2 linked regions of the Ovis aries genome follow. The protein of the gene in region 1 purifies or fractionates together with the protein of each later gene. This does not show direct contact. Links are inferred from orthologs where the notes say so. Each region holds a gene or a part of one and is shown in the gene's direction. Other genes may lie near its edges.

The links. Proteins that work in one complex are often made in the same cells at the same time.
Region 2: the proteins of ANAPC16 (region 1) and ANAPC13 purify together in Homo sapiens (affinity purification with mass spectrometry; 3 studies listed by BioGRID and IntAct, counting the BioPlex papers as one, with this or other methods). This does not show direct contact. The link is inferred for Ovis aries from reciprocal best matches to the Homo sapiens genes ANAPC16 and ANAPC13.

What each region holds. Positions count from the first base shown.
Region 1 is NC_056078.1:27,526,070-27,529,569, forward strand, and holds part of ANAPC16 (anaphase-promoting complex subunit 16), read left to right. Parts: exon of another isoform or gene 1-172; 5' UTR 173-199; coding exon 200-341; exon of another isoform or gene 342-382; intron 383-3,500. UniProt on the Homo sapiens protein: Component of the anaphase promoting complex/cyclosome (APC/C), a cell cycle-regulated E3 ubiquitin ligase that controls progression through mitosis and the G1 phase of the cell cycle.
Region 2 is NC_056054.1:255,495,601-255,499,850, forward strand, and holds the start of ANAPC13 (anaphase-promoting complex subunit 13), read left to right. Parts: upstream 1-1,450; 5' UTR 1,451-1,759; exon of another isoform or gene 1,760-1,880; coding exon of another isoform or gene 1,881-1,912; exon of another isoform or gene 1,913-1,934; intron 1,935-1,964; exon of another isoform or gene 1,965-2,912; intron 2,913-3,038; 5' UTR 3,039-3,070; coding exon 3,071-3,169; intron 3,170-4,250. Other genes in the region: CEP63 (centrosomal protein of 63 kDa), read right to left, coding at 1,205-1,450. UniProt on the Homo sapiens protein: Component of the anaphase promoting complex/cyclosome (APC/C), a cell cycle-regulated E3 ubiquitin ligase that controls progression through mitosis and the G1 phase of the cell cycle.

The sequences.
Region 1 (3,500 bases):
TGAGTGACATTTTGGCCCAAGGAGCCTTAAAAGATCGTGGGAGTACAGAGGGTAGAAAAATTTGGAACTAATTCTTGACTAAACTGCATGCTGGCTTTCATGGTAGCTGGAATGAAATGTTGTCGGTCTCACTTCCATAAACTGCCAATTTGCTGTTTTTCTTTCTCTGTAGTGAAGTGAGAATTCTGCTAGAGAGGAAATGGCTGCCTCTTCATCATCCTCCTCAGCTGGTGGGGTCAGTGGAAGTTCTGTCACTGGATCTGGTTTCAGTGTCTCAGACCTTGCCCCACCACGGAAAGCCCTTTTCACCTACCCCAAAGGAGCTGGAGAGATGTTGGAAGGTGATCTCATGCTGCTTTTTGCTGAATAATTGGATTCAGACCTGCAATGAATATTAATTGTAAAGAAGCTATTAAGTGGATTAGTTACGAGTTTGTCCTGATTTCAGCTCTACATTTCATCTCTTGTCCTCATTTCAAAATATCTTTAAAACACAAATCTTTCTCCAGAATTAGGATTTTGGAGCTGAAAAAGACTTTGGAAATCATGGAGGTCATTTAGAGTTATTTAGACCCAGAAAAGATAAAGTGATTTGACCATGTGAAAAGACACAGTCAGCACTTGGACCAGGAATTCCATTAAACTCCTGCTCCAGTTTGCTTTATCCTGGCACCAGTCGGCTTCCCTATGGTTAGTAGGTTTCATATATATTTTTTCTAATATAATTCACCTACAGATAGATGAAGAGATTCTGAGAGAAAATAAAAACCAATCTACTATTCTTACATGGCCCACTGCAGGACAGTGCAGTGTGGTTTCTCAAGCACTGGAGCTGGATGTGCATCAAATCATCCCCTATCTTATTCAGCACACATTTGCAAACTGGCTGGCCAAGATCAGGGCACAGGCTATAAGCATGAAACAACTTTAGTACCTAGAATTCATCAGGTACATGTCACTTTAGGAGATGGACCAATAAATTCTTAATAGAGAACATTAAAACCTCCTGAAGAGCTGATTTAAAATGCACATTTCTGGCTCACCTAGAGATTCCAAATTAGTCTAGGTTATAGCACAAGAATCTCCATTTTGACTAACATCCAGGGGATTCTCATGAAAGTGGCCCTTAACTATTAAACTATTCTTCATACCTCGAAAAAAATCAGTAAAGAACCTACTAAAGATTCAAAATCTACTTGATTCAAGCACATCTGTCCTTAATTGTATATTGATCCTTTTTGCTTTAAATATTGCAGATTTCAGTAAATATACTTAAAAATTAATCTGGAAATATCTGAGAAAGGCACAGACTGTAGATAAGAGTCAGCTTTTCGGGGGTGGTCTTCACTTATATCAGGTATAATAAAAAGCAGAGGTTTGGATTAAGCCAACGCAGACAGAAGTATCACTTGTGACAGGAAAACACAGGAAGACTGGGACCATAGGGGAGACTGGGACTAAACATAGGAAGACTTTTTAGAATTGGTTCAAATCATGATTGGTGAAGTAAACAACCAGATATTGTAGTTAGTGATACATGAGGTGTATGTACTGATACTTCTGTCTATGCCCTTTTGTTTTCTTCAATTATGTTAACTGAATACTCAAGCTAACATCACTGAGTCTGGAGGTAGTGAACATCTAGGGCCTTGTTTACCATATTTGGCACTAAAAATAAATTATGACTTAAGTTATATGCTTCAGAGACCTGGTATTAGGAAGTTTCTCCCAAAACAAATCAAAAGTTGGAGGCACTTAAATTGTTTAATGAGTTTTATGGCAGCAGAAAAGGAATCCTTATTTAACAATGAACCCTAAGATTAAAGTCATTTAAAGTCTAGCTACAGGAGGAATTTAATACAGCGGTACCTCCATGGTCTCAGAGCTGTCAGCATTCTTTGTCAGTGTACACCAGATTTCTTGGAAACATTAAAGAAGAAAGGCTTCTGAGATTAGTCTAAATGTTGATGTTCTAACAAGTGATAGTTCTGTCCACTTGTATTCCATCTCAGTATGCTTCATGGGGGACTGTGTTGCCTTTCTACTGTAGAATGAATTTAAGTTTAAATTTGCAGTGCCCAGTTTGGGTTTTCTTCCTTAGGTTTAAAGTTTCACCTATACTTTAAAGCTATTTACATTTAAGGACAACCTATGAAAACTTAGAGGTAGCAGCCCTTGAACTATCCTGAGTCAAGTGAAAAATGTTAAATTGAAAAGGGTACCCTTAAATGTGAATTAAAAGGGATGGTAGATTTGGTTACCGCATCCTACTGTGTTTATAGGTGATACTATTATGCAAGTAATCTAATGCACATGTACCTGACCATTTTTCTTACGGAACTTTAATGGAATACAGGCATACCTTGTTTTGTTGGGCTTTGCTGATACCATGTATTTTACAGATTGAAGGTTTGGTCAACCTTGCCTTGAAAAAGTATGTTGGCGGCATTTTTTCAACAGCATTTACTCATTGCCTATCTCTGTGTCACATTTTGGTAATGCTGACAGTATTTCAAACCCTCCACCAGCAAAAAGGTTACATTTCCCTGAAGGCTTGATGATGGTTAGCATTTTTTTAGCAATATTTTTTAATTAAGGTATGTACATTCTTTTTTTTTAGACATAATGCTATTGCACACTTAACAGACTACAGCATGGTATAAGCATAACTTTTATATGCAATAGGAAACTAAAAAATTAGTGTGATTTGCTTTATTGCAGTGGTCTGGAACCAGGCCTATGACATCTCTGAGATATGCCTGTATGAAAATAGAGTAGGAAGAGTTGCCTCTTCAGAGTAAGAACAAAAGCAATTAGGTGCTGTTTTTTATCTTAACAGGTTCAACTTGGTCTTGCATCCTCCCAAGTCTAGGATAATAAACCGAAATAACCTGTACTTAACCTTGTGTATTAACTTTTTTGTGTATCTGCTGTCTGATATCAAGACACCTCACATATGCAGTATACTGTACAGGACTTTTCAACATTCCCCTGCCTTTGGCTAGGATTGTCTCACCCTATTGTCTCACCCTATATTAGTAAGCAAGTTGGAGACTGCCTTCCAGTCCTGAAATGGCTGAATTTTGGTGGCATCGTATGCCACTGGAGCATAAATTATCTGCCATTGCCTGTTTTCCCGCTGTGGGATAATAAGTCTTTTAAATGAATTTGTTAGCATCCTATTTATTGGAGTTAACAGTGGTGTTAGATTTGGACAATTTACTGAACTTTTCACCATTTATAACCTTTACTTGTCCCTTAAAGAGGAAAGCTGATGTATTGCTACTTGGTGTGTTACAGAGAGTTTGATTACAATTTCTAAATGGAAGACAGATTGCCCCAGGCTGACTCCTCTCTGGAGAAATTCCAGACTTTAGATTGTTACAGATATCACATCTAATAGGATGTAGCCAAGAAGCAGTGGACTTCGTGGTTAATGCAGAGCTGCAAATCAGCAGAAATGTGTTCCATAGACATACAAAGCAGCAAAGTGATATGCG
Region 2 (4,250 bases), on another chromosome or scaffold:
TTGTAAAGCTGAAAACACAATCTGAGTTCTTAAAGAAAAATATTTAAAGTAACACAGAAACCAAAAATTCAATTCCTGAAACCCAGGTCAGTGTCGGTTTTAGCTGAATTTCAAACAAGCTTCCTAAAAGGAGGAAGCTCTAATAAAGTTGACTAGTGATGCTATTACCGTCCAATACCACTACTACCTTAACTGAGAACGGGAAGGGCCAAAGTTGTTCTACCTTTTAACGGGAGACAAGTGGCATCAATACAATTAATACATACAACAACTACAATAACTGTTAAAACCTGAATCTATAATGTTTATCAATATCTAGCCCGTTTTAATTTCAGTTGTTCTTACTATACTGATCACTGATGATATAGTCAAAAGGCAAGAAGCTCGATAAAAAGCTAATAATACTACATTTCAAATAAGAAAATACATACCCTTTATTATATCATTAAGCTACAGCTATGATCAGTATAGAAAAATTTGAAGGTAACATGTAGTTAATGATCCTTATGGTTTCCTCTTCGTATCTAGAAAATAGTTAAATGCAAGCATGTGGGGAACTGTAAAACTACAGGGCACAAATCCTACAGTACTGTTTTATTAAAGGAAGGAAAAAAATGTTAACACTGGTTTAAGGAACCGTTTGTAAGCCTTAAGGAAAACTACTCTGCGCAATACGCATGCTTTAACTAGACGCTGTAAATGAACACGAGTCGCTGACAGCAAGCTCACTTTTACTCTCTGATGTTGTAAAAACTACATTATGAGCCTAGGTTTACTGCTTCCAAATATGTTCATGATTATAGTGCTTTATGGGCCCATCCCTTTTTTTCTCTCACTTTATTTCGCATCCCTGATTTCTATGGAGCAATAAGTTCAGGGTTCCCCAAATTCTGTCCTTCATGATTTCTGCCACATTACCATACCTCTGGAACTAACATTATGGTTTTTAAGTCAATTATTTTTAAAAACTTGCTAAATTTCCCACCCATAAATGAACCACTATCACCTGCCGTCAGCAACCTAAGCCTCAACAAGGCTAGGAAGGATGCTAGCCAAATGAGGCAGCCCAGGCGGGAGGGCTGGGCCGGGGGTACCTCCCCAGAAGTGGCAGCCTGACTCGCTGCCGACTCCGCTGGGAGAAGCGGAGCAGCTCGCCCACCCCGCCGCCCTCCCGCCGGCCGGCCTCAGGGGAAGGGCTGACCACCTGGCTAGCCCGGACTGCGCGCCGTGGGAGGCCATATCTTGCTTCGCGGGTCTGCGAAGCGTTTGCGGCGAGGAGGGGCGGGGCGCCGGGGCGGAGCCGGGCCGGCGGAGGCGAGCCTGGAGGCCAGCGGGCGGCTGAGGAAGTCGGCCCCCGGCCATTCGGCCGCTCAGTCTGCGGCCCCACTGCAGCCAGGGCGGCCTCCGGCTCCGGACACCGGCACCCGTCGCCTGTTGGACTTTCACACATGCGGTTACAGGCCTGCCACGAGCGCGCCCCCGAATCTTCCCGCCGTTACCTCCGGACGGGGGCGCGCACGCGCGTCACCGCCAACCTGACGTCCAGTCACGGTCTTCGGAACATTCGTTCCGCCTACTGCTCCCTGACTTTTAATTGAAGCAACGTCCTCCTTGACCCCCCCCCCCCTCCGCCCCGCCAAATGGGCTCACCGACTTCCGGGGATCGGAGAGCAGGGCGCCTCGGCCACATGACCGCTGGGGGCGTGGTTCTGGCTGTGCTGGGCCAGTGCTGGTAAAGGTTTCCCGCGCCCTAGCTTAGGTAGTGTAGGAGAAGCGCATGTTCGGGTTTCGGCCGATCCTATCGGCAGAGGTCGTTGCCCTCACCTCACCCTGATAACTACCTCCCTTACCGCTCGTCGGGAGGGTAGAAAAGGACTTACACGAAGGCCCTGGACTTCCCCCGCTTCCGCATTTGGTAGAGCCCGCCTTGGGCCGGAAGCCGAGGTTATGGGGCGGGATCCCACGCCTGTACGGACGGTGGTGGCCCGAGAGGGTCATATTTAGCGGGGGGGAAAGGGCATTCCAGGTTTGCTCTTTTAACTGCAAGTTTACCGATCTCTAAAACAGAGGTGAATAAAACTGCCCCTGTCCCGAAGAAACGCACGCACCGCTTGTCTGGGAAGACCCTGTAACGGGCAATGTAACAAGCCCCTGATGGGGCCCATTCACTGCGCCCCGGGAAATATGGAACCTGCGGAGGGGCGGATATCGCGTTCTTCTTGGAGCTTAGAGAAAGCTTCCTGCAGGAGGCAACCTGGGAGCTAAGTTGTTTAGAGTGACTGGGGGTTAGCTGAGGAAAAAAGGAAGAAGACAGAGCATTCCAAGCTTTGGGACAGTCACGTGTGTAAGATTTTGTTCAGGAAAGTGGTAACAGTTAATTATGGGGACTGGCAAGTGCCTGGGACGCTGGCTGTGACCTGGTCATTGCCCGCCTTGTACTTTCCACGCTTCCAGCCCCTGAAGAGTGACGGCACCTTAGCGCCTAACTCTGGAAATGAGATGTTAGCCCCGATGAGCTGACACTCAACTTTGAGTTTGGAAGGAAAAATAGGTGTTCGTGATGGGGCAGAGAGACCTTTTTAGGTGCAAAGGCTGGAAAGTGTGACAAGTTAGATATATTCTAAAGAAGAATAGGTGAAAAACTATTTGAGGCCAAATTGAGGGAAAACATGCTGAATCATTAATAAAAAATTTACGCACAGCAATTGAAAACAATAATGCTTGAACCATCAGTCATAAAGCCAACTTAACTTGCCTAGTGAATCATAAAAACAAGGAACCATTCAAGGGCAGAATGCATGCTGACGCTGAGTGATCCGAGAAAACTTTACCAAAAAATGGAATCTGTGTGTGACTAGGAAGATCAGCTGGGAGGTACTGTGATGTTATAAAGAAACTGTAATCTAATCCAGGTGAGATGAGTCTCCCTGGATGATCCAATGCCAAAACCCACACTAGAAAGCCTAGAGAACCCTAGTGGCTGGATTACATCATCTTTTCATTCTTCATGTTTAAGAAATAACCTCTTTGGTTTACAGGTCCCATCCGACAAGATCAAAGCTGCAAGAGAATGGACAGTGAGGTACAGAGAGATGGAAGGATCTTGGATTTGATTGACGATGCTTGGCGAGAAGATAAGCTGCCTTATGAGGATGTTGCAATACCACTGGTAGGCTGAAATGTGTGCTGAGGGTGATGGGTTAAAGGTCTGATCTGGTAGACCCTAGTAGGTGTAGGTTATCAATGGACAAATAAATTAAAGTCAAAGAAATCAAAACTATGGAGTCCTCTGACTCTAGAAACCTCTGGAGAGTATTTAGCTCAACTTTGTATTTGAAGAGAAATGTGGTTCAGATTGCTGAGGTGACTAGCTCAATTAGAGGTCATATGAGAACTAGAACTGAGGCCCTCTGAGCCATGTTCTGTCCACCACACCAAAGGGAGTAAAGAATTTAATGCACACCATGAGGAGGAACAGGAAGCAGTGGTATATGCACTTAATTTCTCTACCTGTGGCCTGTCATTTTTAGAAACTCACAGTTTTGGAACACATATCTATTCTAGGTTCCCTGGAAAATATTCAGAAGAGACCTGGCTTTTCTTCTTTTACATTTAGATCATCAAGCTCTTTTCTTTCCTAATCTCTGGAAAATTATTCTGCAGGGAGTTTGTTAAGCCTCACGTCATAAGATCTAAACGTTTTACTCGAATAAATGCTTACTAAAAATTCTGTCATAGAATTTTTGTCATAGAAGCCTAACAAGAAGAATAAGGATTGTTTTTCTGTAGAGCCTGCCAAGAGTTGTTGATTAAATAGAATTTGCAAGCAGGTGGTCTGCTGTGGCCATACATGTTTTCATTTAAGAATAAGAGGTAATGTGTTCAAGGAATAATACACGTAACAGATAATAAATGACAGCTTAGTTCAAGTTTAGAAAAATAATCAAAAGAGCATAATAAGAATTATAGCTCCACTTTCATTGAATACCTGTTTTGTGCCATGGGCTGAGGTTGAAACCTGACTTATTTTATCTATATCCTTAAAAGAACCTTCAGGGGTGATGATGATGTCCCCACTGTACAGGAAGAAAATAGGATCAAAGAGGAGATCTTGCCCAAAGGTTGGTAGCTAATAAGCTAGACTTCACACTGAGGTCTGTGAGGCTCCAGATCCTGTCCTGTGGACTTTTGTTGGTTCTTTCATTCCACAAGCAGTTCTTTGAAGCCTATTGTGTGCCTTAAGACTAGGT